Mus musculus: one gene and its partners. The protein of the gene in region 5 interacts with the protein of the main gene of each other region in a biochemical or structural test. Links are inferred from orthologs where the notes say so. Each region holds a gene or a part of one and is shown on either strand. Other genes may lie near its edges.

The links.
Region 1: of the proteins of Btrc (region 5) and Wee1, one has a biochemical effect on the other in vitro, tested with the Homo sapiens proteins (2 studies listed by BioGRID, with this or other methods). The link is inferred for Mus musculus from reciprocal best matches to the Homo sapiens genes BTRC and WEE1.
Region 2: of the proteins of Btrc (region 5) and Nfkb2, one has a biochemical effect on the other in vitro, tested with the Homo sapiens proteins (2 studies listed by BioGRID, with this or other methods). The link is inferred for Mus musculus from reciprocal best matches to the Homo sapiens genes BTRC and NFKB2.
Region 3: the proteins of Btrc (region 5) and Kdr form a complex in vitro, tested with the Homo sapiens proteins (2 studies listed by BioGRID, with this or other methods). The link is inferred for Mus musculus from reciprocal best matches to the Homo sapiens genes BTRC and KDR.
Region 4: of the proteins of Btrc (region 5) and Deptor, one has a biochemical effect on the other in vitro, tested with the Homo sapiens proteins (3 studies listed by BioGRID, with this or other methods). The link is inferred for Mus musculus from reciprocal best matches to the Homo sapiens genes BTRC and DEPTOR.
Region 6: the proteins of Btrc (region 5) and Cdc25b form a complex in vitro, tested with the Homo sapiens proteins (2 studies listed by BioGRID, with this or other methods). The link is inferred for Mus musculus from reciprocal best matches to the Homo sapiens genes BTRC and CDC25B.
Region 7: the proteins of Btrc (region 5) and Ube2r2 form a complex in vitro, tested with the Homo sapiens proteins (2 studies listed by BioGRID). The link is inferred for Mus musculus from reciprocal best matches to the Homo sapiens genes BTRC and UBE2R2.

What each region holds. Positions count from the first base shown.
Region 1 is NC_000073.6:110,141,429-110,143,799, reverse strand, and holds the end of Wee1 (wee1-like protein kinase), read right to left. Parts: intron 1,845-2,371; coding exon 1,688-1,844; 3' UTR 501-1,687; downstream 1-500. UniProt on the Homo sapiens protein: Acts as a negative regulator of entry into mitosis (G2 to M transition) by protecting the nucleus from cytoplasmically activated cyclin B1-complexed CDK1 before the onset of mitosis by mediating phosphorylation of CDK1 on 'Tyr-15'.
Region 2 is NC_000085.6:46,304,231-46,308,494, reverse strand, and holds the start of Nfkb2 (nuclear factor NF-kappa-B p100 subunit), read right to left. Parts: upstream 2,801-4,264; 5' UTR 2,492-2,800; coding exon 2,471-2,491; intron 2,213-2,470; coding exon 2,131-2,212; intron 2,010-2,130; coding exon 1,969-2,009; intron 1,725-1,968; coding exon 1,626-1,724; intron 1,554-1,625; coding exon 1,402-1,553; intron 1,132-1,401; coding exon 1,025-1,131; intron 936-1,024; coding exon 777-935; intron 540-776; coding exon 435-539; intron 323-434; coding exon 237-322; intron 151-236; coding exon 12-150; intron 1-11. UniProt on the Homo sapiens protein: NF-kappa-B is a pleiotropic transcription factor present in almost all cell types and is the endpoint of a series of signal transduction events that are initiated by a vast array of stimuli related to many biological processes such as inflammation, immunity, differentiation, cell growth, tumorigenesis and apoptosis.
Region 3 is NC_000071.6:75,954,456-75,957,955, reverse strand, and holds part of Kdr (vascular endothelial growth factor receptor 2 isoform 1 precursor), read left to right. Parts: exon of another isoform or gene 1-591; intron 592-845; coding exon 846-992; intron 993-1,670; coding exon 1,671-1,802; intron 1,803-3,500. UniProt on the Homo sapiens protein: Tyrosine-protein kinase that acts as a cell-surface receptor for VEGFA, VEGFC and VEGFD. Plays an essential role in the regulation of angiogenesis, vascular development, vascular permeability, and embryonic hematopoiesis.
Region 4 is NC_000081.6:55,110,829-55,115,116, reverse strand, and holds the start of Deptor (DEP domain-containing mTOR-interacting protein), read right to left. Parts: upstream 2,801-4,288; 5' UTR 2,620-2,800; coding exon 2,498-2,619; intron 1,778-2,497; exon of another isoform or gene 1,535-1,777; intron 1-1,534. UniProt on the Homo sapiens protein: Negative regulator of the mTORC1 and mTORC2 complexes: inhibits the protein kinase activity of MTOR, thereby inactivating both complexes. DEPTOR inhibits mTORC1 and mTORC2 to induce autophagy.
Region 5 is NC_000085.6:45,513,734-45,517,233, reverse strand, and holds part of Btrc (F-box/WD repeat-containing protein 1A), read right to left. Parts: intron 3,227-3,500; coding exon 3,108-3,226; intron 1,377-3,107; coding exon 1,127-1,376; intron 220-1,126; coding exon 101-219; intron 1-100. UniProt on the Homo sapiens protein: Substrate recognition component of a SCF (SKP1-CUL1-F-box protein) E3 ubiquitin-protein ligase complex which mediates the ubiquitination and subsequent proteasomal degradation of target proteins. Recognizes and binds to phosphorylated target proteins.
Region 6 is NC_000068.7:131,193,448-131,196,947, reverse strand, and holds part of Cdc25b (M-phase inducer phosphatase 2), read right to left. Parts: intron 3,354-3,500; coding exon 3,261-3,353; intron 2,834-3,260; coding exon 2,771-2,833; intron 2,610-2,770; coding exon 2,511-2,609; intron 2,323-2,510; coding exon 2,189-2,322; intron 1-2,188. UniProt on the Homo sapiens protein: Tyrosine protein phosphatase which functions as a dosage-dependent inducer of mitotic progression. Directly dephosphorylates CDK1 and stimulates its kinase activity.
Region 7 is NC_000070.6:41,188,021-41,190,945, reverse strand, and holds part of Ube2r2 (ubiquitin-conjugating enzyme E2 R2), read right to left. Parts: intron 1,795-2,925; coding exon 1,660-1,794; intron 342-1,659; coding exon 122-341; 3' UTR 1-121. UniProt on the Homo sapiens protein: E2 ubiquitin-conjugating enzyme that accepts ubiquitin from an E1 ubiquitin-activating protein, and catalyzes its covalent attachment to other proteins by an E3 ubiquitin-protein ligase complex.

The DNA of each region.
Region 1 (2,371 bases), on a different chromosome or scaffold from region 5:
TAAAAGTATGTTGGGTTGGATGTTTAGAGGAGTGCTTGACAAGGGCAAGGCCCTGGGTTGTCTTGCGTGTAAATGTACACACAAGCCAGTCTCTTAACACTATAAGCTTTTCTGTGGTTCAGACTAGTTTAGAAAGCTAGGAGTTGCATATTTTATCCACGTCAGCTGAACCTTTAAAATTGTACCTCATTTCCAGTGTCACGTGTATTAACATGTGATATGCTTAGATGTATTATTTATATTGGTAATAACAAAACTTTCCTAGCATGGACGAAAGCACATCTTTAGTTCCATCACGATAGGTACTGGAGTTCTAAGTCTAGCACTAGGGTGGCAAGGGAGGCAGCTAAGTTTCAGGCCACCCTGGACTATAAGGTGAGAGCCTGTTTCAAAGAGCCAGCAACAACGAGGAAGTGCACTCTGCTCTTAGCAAGTTATATCTATTTATCCACATTCTGTAATGAGCAGTGAGGAGTATAAAGTAGAAAACAGGCACCGTGAAGATTTAGACAATTAAGGTAAGCACGGAATGACTTTTAATACACCAGACAATGTTAATAAGACACAAGTCAAACAGACAAGTGCAAATGTGTTTCAGACCAAAGTTAATAGGAAAACAAGTGAGACATTTCCCTCCTTTTGGAGGGCAGCATCTACTAGCCAAATATTGTTAGTCAAATGGCTATTCACAGGTAAAATGTATTTTGTGGAAAACTTGGAATAGTCAGAAGTCATTCTGGTATTTTTAAACAGCTATGTACAGTATTACCAAGATCAGTTTATATACACAAATATTGAAGAGAAACTGGGCAAAACATTTAAAAATAGGCTAACCATACAACCAAGTACAAGACTTGACAGGAGGAAGGAAACATGTTTTAAAGACAGGGGACATTATAAGAAAAATTTACAAAACCAGTAATAATTATACTACATTAATACAGCATTCAAACAGGGAGGGGTAGGTGCACTTTTTCAATGCAGTAGCTTCAAAGTCCAAAGAAAAAGATGCGAAGCTGCTTTTCATGAAGAGCAGCTATATATTTCACATAATTGTTCTGAAAGAAAGCCTATTAACAACAATGATTGTTTAATGCTAGTTTTACAGCAAGAGGAAACTAAAATAGCAGCAAATTCACAAGGCAAGGCCTCCACAGAATGACCATCCCATGGCGCACACGATGCCTAAAGTGCTCCCAGTTGGATATACAAGTGTAATTCACATAGAAAAAAGAAACGCAAGACTGACACAGGTACATTGGAGGCAGAGGAGTACTGAGTCTCTGAGCATTTCCCTTTTTGAAGGGAGAGGATGTTCGCAGTAAAGCCCTTGAGTCCTTTCTAGAGGTCACAACCAGGAAAGACACCTTTCACCACACTGCAACAGTGAATGAGAAGCAGCACACCACCACAGTGGCGCACCCCGCAAAGGGGGCTGGAACATCCAACAGTGACCCACATCCTACATGAAACAGACGGGAGATGAGACAAAAGCCTGACAGAGCCAAGTCAGAATACAGCTCTCAACTGTAATTCTCAAAGTCACAGAAGGCGTTACGTTTTAGGAAAACTACTGATACCAATGGGCAAGTAATCACGAAGTGGGCTCTAGCAGTGATTCCAACCTAGCTTCCTCTTGTCACAGTTTTTTCCTTTGAGTGGGGAAGGGCTGGGGAATGTGAGCAGTTCAGTATATAGTAAGGCTGACAGAGCGGTTCATTTTCTTTCCAATAAGTCGAGAAGTTCTATTACTCTGGGTGGTGGATCTAGTGGCCATCCGATCTGTGAAGAGTGCCCGTTCCTCAGCTGCAACTTTGGCTGCCATTTGGGCTTTCTTGAGTTCTCTACAAAAATAAGAAGGAAGCAAGACTTTAATTTACCTACTGCATTAATTCTATGGAAAGAGTCTAAGAAGCCAAATACAAACTCAAACATTGTGCTGGCTAGTTTTATGTCAATTTGAAACAAACTATAGAGTCATCACAAACTAGGAGCCTCAATTGAGAAAATGCCTCTACAAGGTCAGGCTGCAGGCAAACCTGTTTCTATTTATTTATTTATTTATTTATTTTTTTGTTCCTCGAGACAGGGTTTCTCTGTGGAGCCCTGGCTGTCCTGGAACTCACTCTGTAGACCAGGCTGGCCTCGAACTCAGAAATCCACCTGCCTGCGCCTCCCAAGTGCTGGGATTAAAGGCATGGGCCACCACTGCTAGGTGCAAACCTGTTTCCCAATCAGTGATTGGAGTGGGAGGGGCCAACCCATTGTGGGCGATAACTCTTGATGCATTATAATGGTATATGACACACCTGGAGCTGGTGAAAAGATTCATCAGCGATAACACCTGCCACCAAGCCTGACAACCTGAGTT
Region 2 (4,264 bases), about 790 kb from region 5:
GCCCGACTCACCTTCCACCAGAGGGTAATATGTGAACTGTTTGGAGTCCGAGACATCGCCCCCACGCTTGCGTTTCAGCTGCAGGAACACCGTTACAGGCCTCTCGATCTTCATCTTGTGATAGGGCGGTGTCCGGAACACAATGGCATACTGGGGTGGAGGATGGGAGAGCAACATGGTGTCAGTAAGGTTTCTTCGTAGTTCTGTCTCCAGGACAGGCCCTAGTCCCTCAGTACCTGTTTATGAACGTCTGTGGGAGAGAAGTCCCCAAAGGCTTGCCATCCATTCTCATCATCCTCATAGAACCGAACCTCAATGTCGTCTACAGAGAAAAGTGCGGCTTAGCCACAGGGAGAGCCTGCAGCCCCGCTGCATGGATCCCGAAATTACCCTTACAGCCAGCGTTTCCAGCTCCCAGAGGGCTTCTGCCTCACCTTTTTGCACCTTATCACAGAGCAAATAAACTTCGTCTCCACCGCGCACGGAACCCGCTGTCTTGTCCATTCGGGAGATCTTCAGGTTCGAGGCCCCTGGAGACTCTATAAGGTGGGGGATGGGTTAGGGACACATTGATGGGATCGGAGGCTCGGTGGGGTCATTATCAAACTTCAGGAAATGCAGTATTCACATTTACCACTCAGAAGCAACACTCAGATGTTCTGACTACCGAGCACTCACCACCCCACACGTGGCAGGGCCAGGTTCAGACCCATAGCTGGAAGGTATCTCAAGCGCTCTTTTGGGAATGCATGCTTGGCCCCCTGCAGAATACTCACTGCTGTCATGGATGGGCTGGGAGATCACAGGCTTCAGGGGCAAGGAGAAGGAGCCATCGCTAGCTCGAAGGAAAGCTGAGAAGCGCAGCCGTACAATGCTCAGATCCATGACTTTCTTCAGCTCCTTGGCCTCCTGCTCTAGCTCCCGCCGCTCAGCCTCTGGATGGACAATGTGGGTGGTGTGAGCTCTGGGCTGCTCTTCCCGGCTCCTCTAGGAACACCTCTCGGAACACCTTTTGTTACCATACCTGTAAGGCCCTGAGGCTTGGAGCGGAGACGCTGCCTCTGAAGTTTCTGGATCATAATCTCCATCATGTTCTTCTTGGTTACATGCAGGACACCCAGATTATTAAATCTGGAGAGGACAAGGAGGAGGCTTTGTCCTCTTTGACCATGAGGCTCTTTCCTCCTGAGGCACCTCCACCCCCACGCTCCACCCCCCATGGTCAGGCTCATCCTGGCTCTGTTCTCCAAGGAAACTGCTCTTTATAGTTGAGCTCTGAGGTTCCTGGGCCAAAGTAAATCTTCCCACTTTGTGTGCTAGTCACACAGGTGGCCTGAGATGAGACCTAAGGCTGGCAGGCAATGAGCATCCCACTGGGGGCCAGGGGCCAGGGCCACCTACTGAGCAGTCATGTCCTTGGGTCCTACAGACACAGCGCACACTCCCAACTCTGAACACTGCTTGCCCACCAGACTGTGGGCATGCGCACGAGGTGGGTCACTGTGTGTCACCAGGTCCACCTCAATCTTGGCCGGTCCCTCATAGTTACAGATCTGAGAATGGCAAAGGATAGTCAGTAGTTGCCCCATACACCATCCCTACCCTCCGGTGTCATCTGAGCTCACCTTGACAGTAGGATAGGTCTTCCGGCCCTTCTCACTGGAGGCACCTGGCAAACCTCCATGGGAGGGGCCTTCACAGCCATATCGAAATCTGAAGCCTCGCTGAAGGTTCCATAGCAGAGACATTGTGATCAGGAGAGGCAACCCCCCCCCCCCCCCCGTCATCCCCACAAGGCAACCACTAGCCATCACTGACCACAGTGACCAAAAGTGTACCTCCTTCTCATAAGCCCCCAACATATCAGCAGCAAGCTATTTAATCTGATCAGTAGGTATAACTACCCTCCCCCCCCCCGCCCCACCTTTTCCCCAAAGGTGAAGCCACCACTCTCTGTCACTCACTCACCTGTTTGGGCTGTTCCACAATCACCAGATAGGGGCCATCAGCTGGAAATAGAGGGGCCTTGCTGAGCCAGGATCTCTGAGACCATCCCTCAGTGGGGCCTCCAGGGGACATGCTCACTCTCCTCTAGGTTCTGAGATACTGCGAGGCCAAAGACTTACTGACCTGTCTCAGGGGCTGGATCCTTAGGCTCCACGATGGAGGGGCTGAATTCAAAATCATCATATTCGGGGATGCCATCCAGGCCCTGCGTTATAGACAGAGAAGGTGGCAGCTGAATCAAGGGTCCCCCCAACCACCCCCTCCCAAGCCCTCTGCAGTCACTCCCTGGACTCCTCCTCAAGCTATGAGGAAGCTCATTTCTGGGCAGGGTTTGCAGACAGCACAGACTGGCAGACTAAGACAATTTGAAGACAGTGCAGAAGTAGGGGAGTGGAGGAGCGTCCAATTGACAAGCAGACACAGAGGGCACCCGCCGCCCTCAGGGTCAGGCAGTGTGACTCACTGGATCGTAGCAATTGTCCATATCTCTGGGCTAGGCCCTGCTGTGTCTTGCGGCTTCGGGCCCCGGTTCAGCTTTCCAGAGTTTCGGACGCCCGCCTAAGGTGAAGAGAGGCGTGGGAGGGGGAAGAGTGAAAGATATCAGGATAGGGGTGGGCAGGGGGAGAGGGATGGGTAGGGGAGGGGGGCTCAGATCTGGGGGAGGGTCCGATCTCCTCCAGCCGCCCGTCCGGGCGTGGCGGGTAAGATCCGGTGGAGGTCGAGATCCGGAGCGGGGCTGGCCCGGGAAAGGGGCAGAAAGTTAGTGCTGCTTAGGAAAGTCCCGAAAATACCAGGGGGAGGCGGAGCCGGAGGGGGCGGGCCTGGAAATGACGCCGGGGCCACGCCCCCGCAGCGGGAGGGGCGGGAGGCCCAGGCGGTTCCTGGTTCCCGGGCAGCCTCTGTAGCCCCTGGGGCTCAGTCGGGGCCTAGCCGCCTCGCCCCCTCTCCGCAGCCTGGAGCAAACTTGGGATTTTCAGCCAGCGTGGAGGACACGGCTGATTCACCCAGGGGCTTTTGTGGGGACATTCCTGCCGTCGGAGGCCCCTTTTCCGAATGGCCCGTAGGCGGGGGTTCTTCCAGTGGGGCCTCCGGGGCTCTGACCAGAGAATATGATTCGGGCCTCAGGGTGTGTGTGGGGGGGAGGAGTTTCCCCCTCCACGGTCTCTAGCGATTCCGTCTTAGCTTCCCGGATTCTCCCGCTGCACCTGCTCCCGGTGGCCGGTCAAACGGGAGCATCCCGCCCTCCCTGGCGACTCCAATCCCAAAGCCAGTGTAACGCGCATGTGTCCGTTGCAGGAATATGCGTTTCAGCCCTAATGTCTTGTGTGCCGGGTGAGTGGTGGCATCATGGCACGTGCAAGTGAACGTTCATCCACACAGGTGAGTCCTTGTACTGCCCAGTGTGGGCACACGTCCGTGCACGTCTGGATGTCCGTGCGCAGGCGCCGGTGCACGGGTGCGCTGTGAGTGCGTGTGCGGGGCTCACACCGGCCGGCTGTGCACAGGCAAGCTAAGGGCAGGCAGACGTGTCGCTGATGTGTAGCAAAGTGTCCTGTTCCTGTGCGCGCTCACTGGAGGTGGCGTCCAGCCCCAGCCTGTCATCTAAAGTCCTCCTTCCCTCCCTCTCCATTCCCTAGACACTCAGGGATCTGAACCCGGCCACTCACCGTGGTGGCGGCTCTGGTTCCGACTTCTTTCCGAGCCCTTCCCCGGACCGGTCGTTGCTCCTCTCCAGCCAAAGGGCTCCAGCCGGGAAAGCCCCTTTCGGCCCCCCGAGGGGGGGAATTCCCGTGACGATCCCGTGCGTCACTCCCCATGCCCTTTTTTATTGGTTGAAAGTTTAACTCCAGGACTCTTGTAGCCAACCCGGAGCAACGCAGGCGCGCCCCTTTCGGGGAAGGCTCGCCCAGGACTGGCCGCGGGGTGTCACCCAGCTCCAGTTCTGCTAGGGACCAGCGAGGCGGGACGACGGACCCAGCGCAGGGCGCGGCTCAGATCTCTGCACTCTTCCAGGCTTGCCCGGGACCGTTACGGAGTCCAGTGGGCCACTTGGCTCTTGCTGTGCCCAGAGGTTGGCTATCTCTGAGACACAGGAAACCGGGTCAGTCCCAACACTCCAGTAACCCTCCCAGAGAGGGACCTCCTAGCTGGGAAGGGGAAGAGGAAGGAGTCAGATCTTGCGGTCAGCTCCAGATCGCCATCTAGCGGCCTTTCTGGAGCCGCAAGGAAACTCTGGGGTCAACTGTCTTAGTTTCCG
Region 3 (3,500 bases), on a different chromosome or scaffold from region 5:
GTAGGCCAGAGCCAAGTACACTTGTTTAAACTCTGATATATATAGTACATGGTGGAAATGACCACGTTCTGCTAAGTGTGGAAGAGATTCTCTCAACATGATTCTTCCTGATGCTCATCAATGTTTCTACTGCAGTTGGGTGATTTTCAGGAGCACGGTAAAGCTCAGGCTTTGCTGTCCATGTAGACAAATGGCCTTGGCTTTTCGTAGGATATTATTGTTTGGTTTGTGTTTGAGTGGAAACCACGAAGGAGTTTTAGGCCCATCAGACTCTACTATTATCTCAACCATTTACTTAGTTATAGGGTAAGGTGCTTAACCTGGACTGCAATCACATCACATAAAAATAAGGCTAATGGCGTGGCTCTCATTATATGTGACTGACAGTAAATATTAGAAATGATATAGTTATCCAAAGTTATGTAAGTCACTCCTTACATAATTGTCCTGAAGTTTTGTCTTTCCTAAGGGAAAACATGAATTTTACTCTTAGAGGCTACAACTTTCCAGAGAAGAAGTTACTCTTAGGGAAAGCCTTGTGGAATTGGAGGGAAATAAATCCTCTAACCTGAATAAAACCATCCCCAAAGATTCCCAAGTACTGTGTGATTTGCATGTGGGGTGGCTAATGTGAATATTTAAAAGCCTCTGTGTCTGTCTGAAGTGTCCTTTCTTATTTTGTTTGACTTCACTCATCCAACAGGGTTGCTGTTGCCAAGTTCGGTGTAGTTTGAGCTTGGTTTATTAATGGGCTCCTGCTTATGAGGTTTAGAACCGTTTAATAGTCACAGGACATGAAAGCTGTTTGAGCCGTGGGCTTTACAGTTTTCTTTTTATGTGCACAGAGCGCATGGCACCCATGATCACCGGAAATCTGGAGAATCAGACAACAACCATTGGCGAGACCATTGAAGTGACTTGCCCAGCATCTGGAAATCCTACCCCACACATTACATGGTTCAAAGACAACGAGACCCTGGTAGAAGATTCAGGTGAGTGAAACTTGTCTATTTCTCTGGTTGTAGAATTTTTCTGATGGATGCTAGGTAAGACTACCATCACTTATTGGCTTGTTTCAAAGTAGACAGAAGGCAGTATTTAGGGGACTCGAAGAAATGACTCAGTGAAATGCTTGCCGCACTAGCACAAGCACTGCATTCTCATCTCTAGAAGCCAGGTAGAAAGCTAGACTCAGCATCCTTCTGGAATCTCAGTACTAAGGGGCAGGGTGGGGGGATGGGAAGGCAAATGCCTCCTTGGAGTTCACTTGCCAGTCTAGCTGAGTCATCAAGCTACAGATTCAGAGAGAGAGAGAGAGAGAGAGAGAGAGAGAGAGAGAGAGAGAGAGCCTGTCGCCAAAGAATAAGGCAGAAAGCTATAAAGCAGCCACCTCACATTGACCTCTGGCCTCTATACACTTGCATGCCCTCCCGTGGAACACACAAATGTGGGTACAGGGTCTGGCTCATTTCAGAGTCACAAGCAGCTTGTTTGGAGTCCGGTTGAGTTTGCATGTAGATCCCATGGGAGAGCAGTCAGTAGTCAACCTTGTGCACCTCTTTAGAGTTAGGTAATGGTCTGAGATAAAGGGCAGCAACTAGTTTTTATTTTTAATGCCATGGACAAAGCATCCCATCAGAAATAAAGCAAGAATTTCCTTCTTCCTTTAGGCATTGTACTGAGAGATGGGAACCGGAACCTGACTATCCGCAGGGTGAGGAAGGAGGATGGAGGCCTCTACACCTGCCAGGCCTGCAATGTCCTTGGCTGTGCAAGAGCGGAGACGCTCTTCATAATAGAAGGTCAGTGTGATGTCATAGGCTCATCAGATGGTCTCTGGCAATTCGATCGCATTGGACATAGCTGCACATACTTTGAGTAGGATGCCTTGTGGGTGACTCATGGTGACACTGGTGGTTGTTAAGCCTCGTCTCTGAGATGTTCATTTAAGTGTCACACAAGTGTACATAGCCTGAAGGCAATTTTACACAATATTTTTCAGTGTACCTACCTTTTTTGACTGGGATCTGTCACATGAAATTAGGGGTCGGTGCTCAGAAAGTTTTAGATCTTATTCGTCTGTGAGGTCTGAGTTACGGTTTCTCCACGTGTTCTTTGTAATCTATCTTCAATGGCTCTGCGTCCTTTTAACCAGAAAGCAAAATTAGCACGCGCTTCAGTCTGTACCATATTTTCTGTCCACGTAGTCATCACTGTGAGAAAACTATTTGCCATGAGTAAGAAATGCCTTTCTGTTCCCGATTCTCACTTTGTTTGAATGGTTAACTCACAGAAATGACACTTCAATATATACCTGGGGAAAAATAGATTTGGTGTTGGGCATTGCTATTCAACTAGTGACAAGGATCAAAGGTTCAGGATTTTCCCCAGAGCAGAGACAAGATTCACTCATAAACAATAGATGATTAATAGGTGATTGCTTTTGTGATATGGACAATCCGGGGTTATAATTGAAATATGAAAGGAAACTTCGTTTCCCCTGGCTGTGCGTGTGCGAGAGAGTGTGTGTGTGTATGAGTGTGTTTTGTGTGTGTGTGTGTGTATGGGTGTGTTATGTGTGTGTGTGTGTATGATCGATATGAACCCTAACCTTTGTTTTTCAGTCAGTATTCTGTGTCAGAACATTTCATCTTCAGAAGAGCGTTCCTGGATCTTGTTTTTGTAATACACTAAGGGAACAATGTGACTCTATTGTGTGAGTGAAGGAGTGGTGTGCAAGGGGGTGACTCAGGGTGGTTAGAGAGGTAGGTTTGGCAGAATTCTAACATCTCCAAGTCTAAATGTTGGCCCCTTTCATCTGCCCAACTCACCATGTCCAGTGCTGCATCTAGAGCCACTAGCATGCTCTCAAATCTCTAAGATGGTTAGGATTCTATAAACTGCACCTGCAACTGAAGATGCCAAAGTGCATGGTAGTTCTGTCACTACCAAAGTGGTTCATGGCTTGGTGCCAAATCCAGGGAGGATGCACCCGCCAGTTCTCTCTGGTACTCTGCCTCCACCCACTAGCCATCTGCATTAGGTTATCATGCCTATGTGGGCACAGTGGCATAGATACTATGGAGACAGGAAAGGGGTGGGGGGGAGCGAGAGAGAGAGAGAGAGAGAGAGAGAGAGAGAGAGAGAGAGAGAGAGAGAGAGAGAGAGGAAGAGAGGAAGAGAGGAAGAGAGGAAGAGAGGAAGAGAGAGGAGAGGGTAGACATTGAATGCTTCTACAGAAGTTCAGCTGTCAGATGTTAATATGAGACTATTCACACATAAACTGATTGAGACCATTGAATCTTTGACCTTTCTTCTGTCTCTTACATGAGTAGGCTTTTAAGCCTTTACATACAGGTAGAACCATTACTTCTCTGGAAACATCAGAGAAACCAAATCCACTTACAGATGCACTCAGAGCTCACTCCCAACTGGTAACTCTTATTTTGCCAACTAATTAATTGCTTGTCTTCTGGCTTCTGGCTTCAAGCCTCCCAGCT
Region 4 (4,288 bases), on a different chromosome or scaffold from region 5:
GAGAGGTGGCTCAGTAGTTACAGCTGCTTGTTGTGAACTCCTGGCAACCTTGAATTTGATCCTGGGGCTTATGCCAACTGGGAGGGAGAGAACCAGCCCCTGAAATGTGCTCTTTGACCTTTTACATTGGCACACATATCTCCTGCCTCTCCCCGCCTACAGTAAGCTTTTAAAGTTTGCTTTAAAATAATTGAAACAAAAAGTGAAATTCAAATCAAATTTAAATGGTTAATATTTGCTCTGAGTTGTTTGTTTGTTTGTTTGTTTGTTTTTAAAGGCAGGGCTTTGCTAGCCTAGTACTTACTACGTAGGGCAGGCTAACCACAAACTTGTAGTTCTCCAGTCCCCACCTCCCAAGTGCTGGGGTTGCAGGTGCATACCCTCAAATTCAAATTTGGTTGTGACATCTCAGCCCTCCCAAAATGGTAAGCCAATTGTCTTTTAATTCTCCCTTCTATAAAAAGGAAACTGAGGCAAAAGAGCAAGTCAATTGTTCCAAAGTCGCAGAAGGAACACATGGCAGAAGCTGGAAGCCACAAGTGGTGGTGGCAGAGGGAAGGAAAACCTGAGTAGCCTGGACCGACATCCTCCGTCCTTCACAAACACACAGGCCCTCTGGACACATCTTACCAGAGGGGCTGTGTCAAAAGTGGTGGTGCAGAGAGAGCAGGGACACCAATTAACTCCTGCAGGCCCTTGGGGATTGCTAACTAACACAGGAAGCCCAGAAGTCAGAATCTCAGAAGCACCCCATGAAATACTCTCATCTTCATGACCACTTTACAGATGAGGAAATAGCTCAGACGAGTAAATTAATTTGTCCAAACATGGCTACCCTGGCTAGTGATCATATAGTGCGTAGCAGCACCCACCGGTGCCTGCACTAACGCCACATAATCCTCATAACAACACTACCAGGTAAAAGTTAGTGTTACTCATCTTTGTCCCAGGCTCTACACTAGCCAAGTCAAGGGCAAGGCCAGGATTCTGTCAGGTTCAAAGCCTTCCTCAAAACAGAGTCACGGTAACACTTGGCCACATGGCGGAGGAATAGAAAACCAAGCCCGAGTCCCAGGTCTGCAGATTTGTGGTGGGAAAGCCTGCGAGCGCTCAGGGGAGGCTGAAGAATGTGCATTTCAGGAGCAGTTATCGAGAAGGAGAAAGTGACTGGGGGTCTTAATGATGTTTGTAAAAGAAACAAAAAGCAAGGAATCTCACCCAAGCAAAGCCTTTTCAAACAGCAATATAGTAAAGAACAAAACAATAAATTATTAAGAAAGTCCAATTAAATCAGAAAAACTTTACGTCATCTCCATTACAAAATACTCTTGATGAAGGAAAACAGGTTTTTAATTCCCTTCAATTTTGGCCACACAGTTGAGATTTAACGAGGAACTGAAATGCGTGATTTTCCTTCTGTCACACTGGACTCCACCGTCCTGACTGCCAACAGCTACTTCCTCAAACTGAACACTGCAAAGCCAAGTGCTTTACCAGACCTCCAGGAACCTCTGTAACACTCTCCTTCCAGTCTGGAAACAGCCATCTAGAAACCGAAATAAGCCGGAAAAATCAAGCCAAGAGCTAGAGGGAGCTAGCACACTTCTTTCAGGTGGGACTGGGCTCGCGGTTCAAGTTCTGGCAGAGCCGGATTCATTTGGAGTGGCAATCTGATTTACAACCCCCAATATCAAGGCAGCTGCGGAAGCACAAGTCTTAAGCATATGCCCAAGAAAAAGGAACAGGAAGCGATGGGAATGTCAAAAGAGCCCTGGGGGTAAGTGCTTGTTCCTGGATCTGTGAGATGGGAAAGTGGTAATTCTAGGAAAAGTGCGCGGCGGTGGGCCAACTCCGGGGTCCCAAACGTGGGCACTGAACAAGGTACTTTCACGCCCCCTTGCGGACCCAAGTGACACCTGAAACCAAGTGTGCCAATCAAGGGATAGGTAAAGAACTGGGAAAGGTTTTGGAAGAGAAGCAACCCGTCAAAGCACTCGCAGATATGCTCCAGGTTTTACATAAAAGTAACCTGAAGCTCCAATGAGGGAAGCATGTCTTGCTAGAAAAAAAGGAAAGCTGAACCGAAGGCACTCATGGGTGCTGGAGCCTTCTATCTGGAAGCGCAGGGACTGGGGTCCCATCCGAAATCTCTTCTTTTTGGAGCGAGCAGACTAGACAGTCATCAGGAACACCTGGCAAGGGGGTTTGCACGCACTGAGTGGTGGCGAGTCGGAGGGACGCATGGCTGCAGCAGTCCAGCTAGGGCGCAGCCTGCACCGCGCGTTCCCGGCATCGGTCCCCGCAGCCTGGCTGAAGCTGCTAGCCTCCGGGCTGCAGTAGCCAGGCACCCGTGCAGCGCGACCCAACCATCCCACTCGCTCGCAACTGTCCCTACGCCCCGCGCGACACGCCTGCCACGAGCCAGATGGCGTGTGCGCTCCGGACCGCGGCGGGCATAGGGCAATCGAGAGCCCATCTACTGAGTGCCTTTCCTTACCGGAGCTGCTCTCCCGTAACTAGGACTTCAGCCATGCGTTCCAGCTCTCTCTGCTGCACCCCGCCGCTCCCGCCGGCGTTGCTGTCGCTGCTACCACTGCCGCCGCTGCTGCCCTCTTCCATGTTCCTGACCGCGCGGTTGCCACTCTGCCTTTGCTGTCCCGGCGGGTGCGCCTGGCGTTTGGATCAATGTGCCCTCCCCGAGGCCGCCCCGGCCATCTTTGTTCCGGGCGGTGCCGTGGCTCAGACGCGATTGGCTGGTGAGGGAATCCCTGCGGGTAAGCAGGAGAAGTCGGCGAGTCCGGGTCTGGAACTTCGGCTTGGGGGCGTGGCCTGGGCTCTCTCATGGTCGGGGGGCGGGGACAAGGAGAAAAATAAAAACATCGGGGCGGAGCTCTGAGCCCTGAGTTTTTGCAGGAGGTTGAGCCTTTCGCTCCTCTTTTATATTTCCTTTTTCACTCCCAAACTCATGCTGGGGAATGTTGCAGTTTTTCTCCATTTTCCATACTAGAGTTGTAGAGAATAAAAATGAGAACAGATTACTCAAAAACGGAGCAGTTGAGGATATTGCTGAAGGGCATTTCAGGCTACCTGATCCCTTTCCCTATAGACCATCTACTACTACCCTATGGTGGAGTCAATAAAGGATCCTGCCCTGCGGTTCAAAAAGACTAAGAACCTGGCTTCATTACTTTGGTTTCCTACCTAAATGCTCTTAATCCCTTTTTTACACTAGTTGTAGCTATCACTTGTCCACATCTGCTGCATTAAAGATGTTTTAGATAAATTGCTACCCTCTTGTGTTTCCCATATCATTCCTTTTACGTCGGGAAGGCAACTCGGAGGGGTGAGGTAACTTGTCTCAGGCAAGCAGGCAAGAGCATTCTCAGTTTTAGGTTATGTTTTTAAAACAACTCTATCTTGGCAGGCATGGCGACACACTTATGTTCCCAGAACTTCAGAAGATGATCATGAGTTTGGACCAGACTGGGATAAGAAGATACCTTGTCTCATAAAACAAACTAAAACCAAAAACAGCTTAACTGACAAAAGCAAGCAATACAATAAACCGTTAGAAGAGCAGGTTAGGGGCTGGAGAGATGGCTCAGCTGTTAAGAGCACTGACTCACTCCTCTTCCAGGTGTCCTGAGTTCAAATCCCAGTAACCACATGGTGGCTCACAACCATCTGTAATGGGATTTGATACCCTCTTCTGGTGTGTCTGAAGACAGCCACATCGACAGTGTACTCACACATATAAAATAAATAAATCTTTAAAAGAAGAAGAGGAGGAGGGGGGGGTGAGGAGGAGGAGGAGAAAGAGGAGGAGGTTAAACATATTTGAATGGCCGAGCTGGTCTACCATGTTCATTAAAAGTCATCACTGTGTCTCTTCGTTTTTAGTTTGTAAACTTCAACATAGCTTGACTGGGAAGTCATGGCTTCCGCGGCCATACACATTTGTTGAAGTATCTTTGGATTTGCCTTTTGGAAGATACAGGTACTTGTGTCTACGATAACTGTCACAATCTTCAGGAAGTGTCAGTATATAACAAAACATATGCTGCTGTGAATGTTACTTGACATTCCTGAAGACTAGGCTCTGAACCTGCTAGGGTCACAAAAGTAGAGCATTTAGTACTTTGCAAGGTCCATTCTCTGGTAAACAAAACTATTGTTTGGGGTAGAATCTTGCTGTGTAGCCCAGGATAGCATCAAACCCTTGATCCCCCTGCCTCAGTCTCCAAAGTGCTGGAATTATAAGACCTGAACACCATGCTCTGTTCTATTT
Region 5 (3,500 bases):
CTGTCCTAGCTACGGAAAGGAGACAGGTAAGAACCATGAGCTCTGTGCACAAAGGGTGGAGGAGGTGGTGGGGATGTGCTCTGGGAAGGCAGCTGCTCACCTGATGGTGTTGTCAGAGGAGCCGCTCACCACCAGCCTGTCTCTGTACTGCAAACAGGCGATGCCACGCTTGTGCCCATTTAGGGTCCTTACGAATTCACAGGTACTTGTGTTCCACACCTGAGACACAAAAGCGACAGCTGAGCAGTAGATCGGGTACTTCTACTAGTAAAAACAGGAAGCGGGCGATAGAAGAGACTCATCAGAGGAGGCCAATGCCTCAAAGAAACAGCAATGGAAAGCAAGAGCCAGAGTGACACAGGACGAATGGGAAGCCGGCTGCTGTCACATGAGACTGCCCAATGATTTGCTCTATGAATTAGCCTCCTTTCCTGAGTCTGCATACTTAGTGTCCGCCTTAGTTCCTTCCACCTTATTTTTTATGTGTATATGTAACTGCTTGAGTTTGTGTGTACCACATGTGAGCCAGAATCCAGAGGCCGGAAATTGGGGCCTCTGGAGCTAGAGGTCCAGATGGTTTGGGCCACTATCGTCATGCTAACAACTCAACTCAGGACCTTGGCGTCCTTGACAACCCCTCTACCTCATTCTCCTAGACAGGGACTTTGAATACAAAACTTACTATCTGGCTAGAACGACTGGCCAGCGACCACAGGGTTTGGCATCGCTCCCTTCTGAGCAATGAGATCACTACCTCATGGTGACACATCTGGCTTTCCCATGGCGGTTCTCACGCATATGCGGCAAGGCCTGTTCACACTGGCCGTTTCCCCAGCTCCAGTACGGATGTGTCCTTGAACTTAACTTTGGCTTGGCTTTCGCCATGCATGCCATCACTGCCATCATCAGTGGCACTGTTATCTTTCCAATCTGGCTCTTGGGCACACCAGGTAAGTGCCGTCATTAAGCTACACCTCCAGCCCATAACCATTGTTTATAGAAATAAAAATTGAATTTAATTATTACAGTATCCTACAACAAGGCTTGTGTATACAGTTGCCCTCAATCACGCTTTTACACAAACTCCTACTGCAGCTTGTGAACTTACTGAAAAGTGACCTGTTACCTTTATGGTTCTATCTCCAGAGGCAGAAACGATGTACTTGTCATCAAAGTCTACAACATTGACCGCAGCTCGGTGTCCCACCAGCACCCTCCTGAGGGTGATGTCAGTTGGGGAAGCCATATCCCACACAGCGATGGAACGGTCTTTGGAACAGGTCACCATCATGCCATTATTGAAGCGCAGGTGCAGAACGGCTTCACAGTGGTGAATCAATGTGTTTAGCATCTCACCTGCATTTACATCCCACACTCTGAAAAGGACACCCAGGAATCAGATGGTACTTAGTACAACGCACGGCCTATTCTTGACCACCAATGGGATAATCAATCAATCAATCAATCAATCAATGCATGTCACCCCTGCTTTCTTTTTCTTTTGGAGACGGGGGTTTCTGTGTAGTCCTGGCTGTCCTGGAACTCACTCTGTAGACCAGGATGTCCTTGAATTCACAGAGATCCGCCTGCCCCTGCCTTCCAGTGCTGGGACTAAGGGTGTGCACCATCATGCTTGGCTCACCTCCTGCTTTCATGGCAAGTGCTCTTGTTCTGCATGCCCCAGGCAGGGTACACAGGAACCATGAGGAAACACCATGGTTCATGTGTACAGACAGGAAAGGCAGGTTTAGTGGGTGCTTCTTGTATAGTGCCCAGAGAGGAGGACATAGGTAGTCACTGTCACCTTATAATTTGGCCCAAATTTTTGGGTTATTATTTTAACACTGACATTCAATAAAAAAGACACATATAAGCTAGGAATCTCATGAAGAACAGCAGTAGTATCTGTCCCAGTCACTGCACTCTGGGCCAAGATGTTTCACACAGACTTAGCAATGCGGACTTGACTTTCACTGTCCTAAACATTAGCTTTTCTTCCTACACAGACTCTAAGTTAAAGGCTCCAGTTTTGTGCTTTTCAGGGGCAAGTTGGTCAAGATGAGCCTTCCTTCTCACCCTAAGCCCATGCTTCATGGCAGTGGAGACCCTTGGCGAGCTGGAGAACTCTGCCGAGATAGAATTACCTACATTACTCTCTATTTGCATATTGACTTTATGTTTAAAAGCACTTTGTTTCTCCTTTGCAGCTTACCCTCCTTTTGGAAAGTTATTTTTTTGTGCTGTAGTGTTGCTAAGAGGTAGAAGGCTATTTAGACGATTTGGGTTCAATCCCTAAACTGCCAAGACAACAACAGACATCATCTCCCCTATTCTATAAACGACCTAAGCCTCTACAGTGCTGCAGCTCCTGTGGCCTCCAAGCCAGGAGAAGAGTCGACTGCCAACACCTGCCAGGGTGGGCTCTGCTGTGCCTGCAAGTGAGAGGAACAGGCTTTGCTGTTCGCAGAGAACTGACAATGCAGACAACTGCCGTTTAGTCTACGCTTGTTTTTTTAAACGTTACTTTTGATGTATTACTTTGGCTAAATCCTTTAGCTTAAGGTGAAATTCCTAGCAGGTTTCCAGCAGTGCTGCTGGTACCCTGAACTCAAGCTACACTGGACTCCAGCAGCATAATGGCTGTGTCATCAAATCACCAGAGCCTCTGGAAATTGAGGGCTCCCTCCTTGAGTAAAGCTTGCAATTAAACACTGTGGGGATGGCAGGGGAGGGCTGGCAAGGAGCGAGTCTTGCTCACCTGTATCCACTTGAAAGAGCGCCTGCATACCTGCACTGCAGTTACAATCACCTGAAAGACAGGCTTCAGTCCCTTCCTGCCATTCCCCTGAGCTAGCTTCATAAGGAATGTAAGGCTTCCCATAAAGAGAGGGAAGTTCCTCTACAGGTGTACCTCCAAATTAAAATCTGTGTGTAGCTTCTTAAATGTGCCAAAGTAGATTCTACCCAATGGGTCCCACATCAAGTGTTGGTTCCAGAGCGACAAGTAACTGACCAGAAGCTAACAGCTTATTCTTTGGTTTCAGAAAAGAATCACCGTGACACAAAGTGGAGGCTTAGCGTTCAAAGGAGCAGCAGAGAGTCCCTACCTGACGGTGGAGTCTGAGGAGCCTGTGATGATCACCCTCTCATCGTACTGCAGACACAGGACGGAGCCCGTGTGGCCCGTGAGAATCCGCTTGCATTCCAGTGTGCTTTTATCCCAGATCTAGGAGGGCAAACGAGACCCTTTTGATCACTGTCATAATAGGGTGCTGTGGAGACTTGTTGTCCTGTACATGTGTGACCCCCCCTGCCCCAACATCAAAGCCCAGAGAGGGCGAGGACTGCATTCTTTCCTACAGGTAGAGCTAAGCTCCTGGATGTGTTGACTTCAGTTCTAATGCTAACTTTATCCTTTTTCATCAAGGTGGAAGAGTAGCCTATAATTACGAAGGCCCAAATAACAACAGCTCCCATCAGCACACTTCTAGAAGGGAGTC
Region 6 (3,500 bases), on a different chromosome or scaffold from region 5:
AGGCCACATGTCAGGAAGAGGCCATGCCCTGTACACACTGCTTTAAGAGCCTCCCAAGTACACAGACTCCTCAGCACAGGAATGCACCTACTACAAGCCTGGCTACTAGGTAGAGGACACTCTGGTGAAGGCAGAGGTAAACCAGGAGTGGCCACTGTTTCTGGAAAGCTGTTTCATAACCTGTTACAGCACTCAATGACACGTCCCAGGAAAGAGGAAGCAAGAGAGTCAAGGTCCTTGACACAGTCAAGGTCCACTCAAGAGCCTGGTCTGGTGGTACAAGCCTGTAAGCCTAGCTACGTAGAATTCTGAGGCAGGCTGGGCGTGGTGGCGCACGCCTTTAATCCCAGCATTTGGGAGGCAGAGGCAGGCGGATTTCTCAGTTCGAGGCCAGCCTGGTCTACAGAGTGAGTTCCAGGACAGCCAGGGCTATACAGAGAAAGCCTGTCTCGAAGAAAGAAAAAAAAAAAAAAAAGAATTCTGAGGCAGAGGGATTATAGGTTCAAGACCTGCCTAAGCTATAAAAAGAGCTTAAGGCCAGCTTGGATTTTAGGAAGCCCTGTCTCAAAATAAAAGGTAAGAGTGGGAGGTGGCTCAGTGGATAAGAGCACCTGCTGAGTAGACAAGAGGACCTGAGTTCAAATCCCCAGAATGATAAAAAGCCTGTAACCCCAGCACTGGGGGGAGGGGGTAAAACCAGGAGGATTGTTGAGAGTTAGGCTGACAGCCACAAGTCCAAATTAAGTGAGAATCTCTATCCCTGTCTCAAGGGAATTAGGTGGAGAGTATACAGCAGAATGTGTAAGCCCTCCTCTGGCTACACACACACACACACACACACACACACACACACACACACACACACACACACACGCGCGGACACACACACACACACGTTTTTTAAGGGCTAAGGGCTGAAGAGAAGTATCAGTAGTTAAGAACACTTGTGGCTGTTGCAAAGAATCTAGGGTCAGTTCCCAGCACCAATATGGTAGCTCACAATCATATACGACACCAGCTCTAGGAGATCCAATACATTCTTCTGATGTCTGTAGGCACCAAGCATGCATATGGGGTACACACATACATATAGGCAAAGTGTTTTCATATAGACTTTTTTTTTTTCAAGATAGGGTTTCTCTGTGTAGCCCTGAAATTTGCTCTGTAGACCAGGCTGGCCTTGAACACAGAAATCTGCCTCCCAAGTGTTGAGATTAAAGGTGTGCATCAATACCACCACAGCCTGGGTCAAAATAAACTTCTTTAAAAGTGGGGTAGGGAGCAGTGAGATGGGTCAGCAGGTAAAGGCACTTGCTGAATAGCCCTGGCAACCTGGGCTCAATCCCCGAAACTCCTGTAAACGTGGCAGAAGAGAATTGATTCTTTAAAGTCATCCTCTGGCTTCCACATGCATACCATAATAAAAAACAAACTAACAAATAATAAAATGTAGTGAGAGGGACTGGGGATAACCCTTACTGGTAGAGGGTTACCTAATATATGTGAAAGATCTAGTTCAGTCTAGTACAGCAACATAGGAAAAAAACCACACATACTCCAGGCTCCTGGATCAGATGTGGTAAGGACTCAAGGGAGAACAGGAAGGGAGGAACAGAAGGGTGGAAAAGTGGTCCATTGCCCAGCAAGAGCCAGATGAGAAAGCTGGAACCCCCGAGCAGAGGGGAGTGCAGGAGGGATGAGGGCCCTGTACAGGGAATGGGAAAGAGATTCCGGTCCACTGAGACAGATGCTAACAGCTGCCAGGCGGAGCTGGTGGCCACCCTGGACCAGGAGGCAGAGGAATAACCAGAAAAGATCATGAATGCAGAGACAGAGGAAAGACTGCTGAAGGAGGGCAATGGACCCCAGTGGTCGCCAGCACGGGAACAGGATACCAAGTGCTTGAGTGTCACCGAGAGTGTAGCTTAAACAGTGTCCTCAGATTTTAAGGATGCTACTAGACTGGGCACCAATTTTGTGGAGGTGCAGCCATGGCTAAAAGATGGTCTGATGATGTGAACAGAAAGAAGACCATTGTAAGATGTGTTGTCTACAGCAGGAGAGTTAAGCTCAGCTCCAAACTATCATATGCAACAAGATGCTCTAGCACTCAGCACCAGGCAAAGATAGCCTAGGGTGGGCGCCGGCTGACCACTGACCACAAGGGCGGGACAGAGCTAGGACTCACATTCGTGGTCCACGCTCAGACGAGAATTCACAGTGGAAAATGAGGATGATTCTCTTGTCCAGGCTACAAGGCATGATGGGACGCTGCAGCAGAAAGGTCTCAGCATCCCGTTCCAGGGGCAGGTTCACAGCATTCTGTCAGAGGATCTGGGGGTCAAGCCGTAGCCTGCACCACGCCCCTTCTTGTTCGGTTCCCAGGTAAGTAACCCCACCTCTTGCTGGGCAGAATCCTCCCCATGGGAAATTCACCATGGAAGGTTACTATTCATCTTCTTGGCAAGGAGTCTGAATGGAGGGTCTGGCCTTACCAGCATCTGTCTCACCTTGATATGCCCGCCTTCATACTCATAGGGGTATCTGCAGTCCACAATGACAAATTTCTCCACGATGTTGCTGAACTTGCCTGTTAACAGGGCCACCATCTGTAGGAGGCCATTAGAGTTGGTGCCAGCAGGTGAGGCTGGTAGCCAAGGTTTTCCCTCTCTTTTCTGATGGTCTGTGCATGCAGCCCAACCCCAAGGGAAGACAAGAGCCAGAAAAGGTGGTCCCCAATGCACCTGGAGAGTGGCTCAACCCTGCTTACAGTTTCTGGTGAGATGTACTTAAGGTCTTGGTGTTTGCCATCCACGGTCTGCAGGAGGAAGGCCTGAAGGGGAGCATGAGTCAGAGTCAGGGAAAGGAAACATGGCGAGGGGCGAAGGTTGGAAGGACAGAGGCAGCACCTGCTTTGACCTCCAGCTTCAGCTCTGAGTGGAACCTCTGGGGGCCCATACCCAGGGAAAGAACCTTCTGCAGGTGAAAGAGGAAGGAAAAGCCCTGGACTTTCTTGCTTCCTGCTCTTGGGTTTGAAAGCCAGGGCTGAGGCAGGAGACTGCATACCGGAGATTCATTTGGAAATGTTTTGCCTGGACAGATTTGAGGTGGCATCAGAAAGGAAGCCAGAGGGAAGAGTCTGCATAGGAACAAGAATGGAAAGATACAAGAGGGAAGAGGGGACCTCTGGGACAGATAGCTCCTGCACTAGGGGTCCAGAGCAGATGAAACAGAAGCCTCCTGCGGTCCTAGAACGCTACCTTAGAGTAATCTCCGATCAGTCCACGGTGGTCACTATCCAGGATGTTCTCAATCTCATGACACAGCGACTTTGAGCGAAAGACACGGGCCTTCTGGAAAGCATGGCAGATGGAGGGTCAGGGAAGAGACTGCCTCTCAGTGCTATTTGGTTGAGACCTTCTTTCTCTGCCACTTAAACTACCTCCTGCCCACTACCCACTGCTACACCTCTAGCTAAGAGGGTACACCCAGAGCATCTT
Region 7 (2,925 bases), on a different chromosome or scaffold from region 5:
GGGGCTGTTTGCTTCCCCGCCCCGGGAGTAAGTTTTTGCTGAGTGGCCACTGTAGATCCCCACTTGCTCCCTCCCTTTGGCCTGAGACGTCAGGGCAGTACAGGGGCACTGAAGGAACATGTCACGACTCCTCATTTCCAGAATCATCATCATCATAACAGTCGGCATCTTCTTCCTCTTCATCTTCATCATCAATGTCGTCGTCATACAAGTCGTCATAAAGCAAATCTGAGCTGTTGTCATTGGAAGGCACTTTAGTTTTGATGCAGTATTCTGCCAGGGTTGTGGGGACCTTCACTCCATCCTTCTCCGCCTCAGCTTTAGTGGCTGAGACCTGTTTCCTGCACAGGACAACACAGGAAAGGTTTATAGGTCTGTTTTGAGAGGGTCTCACACTACCCACACTGCTCCACCTTCGTTTCCTCAGTGCTGGGATTATTAGGAAAGCCATCACACTTGGGTTAAGGCGCTGTTTTGAAGACAGTCTTATAACTGAGCATCATCAGATTCCCTGTGACTCACGGTTCACACTCCATACAGAACAGATATCCCACATCACACCACGGCTCTCATCACATACCTTCCTGTCATGGAGGGGCTTTGTCCTAATACTTCAGCCTTGTTTGAGGTAAGATCTCTCTTGTTCGCTGCTGCAGAAATCAGGTTAACTAGCTCAAAAGCATTTGAAAGTTCTGCCTTTTGCCTCCCATCTCTTGCTAAGGGTTGAAGGATTACAGAGGTTTTATATGTGAGGTCTGTTTTCTAAGTGCAGGTTCAGGTTTGCAGGGGTGCTGGGAAGCACACACTGTGCAGCTGAGCTATGGGCCCAGCATCTTTTTAGTGCCTGTCATCTGCTAGGTTCCCCCAGAGCACCAAATGTCATTGTTTTTGAGGTGGTAGGGGCAGAATGCCAGGCAGGAGCTTGCAGCAGAGCCACACCCTGCCTGCAATCCTACTCACACCTACTACTGCCTGGCTCCCATCACAATGTGCCCTGTCTTCCTCAGGCTTTTCCATTATCCTGTGCCGGCTTGGCAGGTAACAGCTCTGCAACAAAATGTCGCCTGTGTAAGTGTAAAACTTTCTTGCCAAAGTACAAAACCCAAAGCCATTGAGATTGGAGAAACTGAAAACATAAGAACACCACTTTCCTGAAGCTTCAGTTTGTTGCCAGGCCTTACACAGTGATGTTCTTGTAGCTTCTATAACACAAGTCTCCATAGTTTACATTAACTATTCCTTTACTCCTTCATCTGATTCATTCAGCTCAGCGGCTGACCACTACAACCAAGCAGGGCACAGGGATGTGCTCTGTAATCCTAGGACCTGGGAGGCAGAGGCTCGATCTCTGTGTTCAAGGCTAGCCTGGTTTAAACTGCACCCCCCCCCACTACCACACACACACACACACACACACACACACACACACACACACACACACACACACACACACGACAACCAAAACAAACCCAGAAGAGAAGGTCTGCTATCCTGTCCAGTGAATTTTTTACTGTGTCTTGTTTCTGTTGGGGTTCTCTTGCAATAGCTAAATTCATTAGGTTACTCCGTAAATATAATTGAGAAACTGTTTTAAAGTAAACCGATTATTGAAGTCTGACTTGAATCCTTTAGTTCCAGAGTGTACATGGTCTGCCTTACCTAATGATCTCAGCATATTCCTTGTCTTTTCCTTTGCTGTCCCTCCATTTCCTGAACATGACTGAAGCATCCACATTGGCTGGAGAAAAGGTGTTGGGCTCATTAAGCAGTGAGATCACACTTAACAGGATAGTCCTGAGAAGGAGAGAAGGTTCACTGTTAAAGTCAGTCCCCACTGTCCAACAGCACAGGCTTTAAGACATCAGTCTCCCTTAAAATATTTCTCATACAAATATGAATACAAATATGACCTATTATGGAAAATGGATTATACAACTTTGGTTTTAGGGCCAGTGAGATGTCCCAGCAGGTAAAGGTGCGGATGACCTGAGTTTGATCACGGAGATGAAGAGGACAGGAGGAGATCTCCCCACAAAGTGCTTTATACTTTATACCACTTACAGGACACGGCGCATAAATATACACACAGTACATGTCTTTAAAAAAAAGGATTGATTGATTGATGTGAGTGCACTGTTGCTCTCCTCAGACATACCAGAAGATGGTTGTGAGCCACCATGTGGTTGCTGGGATTTGAACTCAAGACCTCAGGTAGAGCAGTCAGTGCTCTTAACCTCTAAGCCATCTCTCCTGCCCCGTAAATGTCATTTTTTTTTTTTTTAATTATTCTTTAGGACCAGAAGCCACTTCAGCTGCCAGAACTCCAGGTAAGCCACCCATGCATGACCACTGTGTCATCACACTGACTCTCCCCAATCCCTCTCCTCCTTTCCTTTTCACTGTGTCTTAGGCCAAGTCAGGCAGAGCCTCTTTGCTGGATCAGAGCCCTGAACTCAGGTGGAGACACTACACCCCCACCCCTCGCAGCTCAACACAGGCCACAAATAACAGAAACCAAGAAACAAAAAATACCCATTCAACAAAGACACACTCAGAGATCAAATGGTGCTGCTCTAACTGCGTGTCTACGTGTACAAGAATGCGAAGAGACCCACACCTATCACATAGTACAAAACTCAAGTCTAAGCGGATTAAAGACCTAACATAAAGTCAGATACACATTGGCTCGGGAGACAACATCCTGAACAGAACATCAATAGAGCAGGCACTGAAATCAACAATAAATGGGACCTCAGCTGGGCGTGGTGGCACATGCCTTTAATCCCAGCAGAGGCAGGCAGATCTCTGAGTTCGAGTCCAGCCTGGTCTACAGAGTGAGTTCCAGGTCAGCCAGGGCTACACAGAGAAACCCTGTTTTATAAAACCAAAGGGGGGGAAAAAACAATAAATGGGACCTCATGAAAC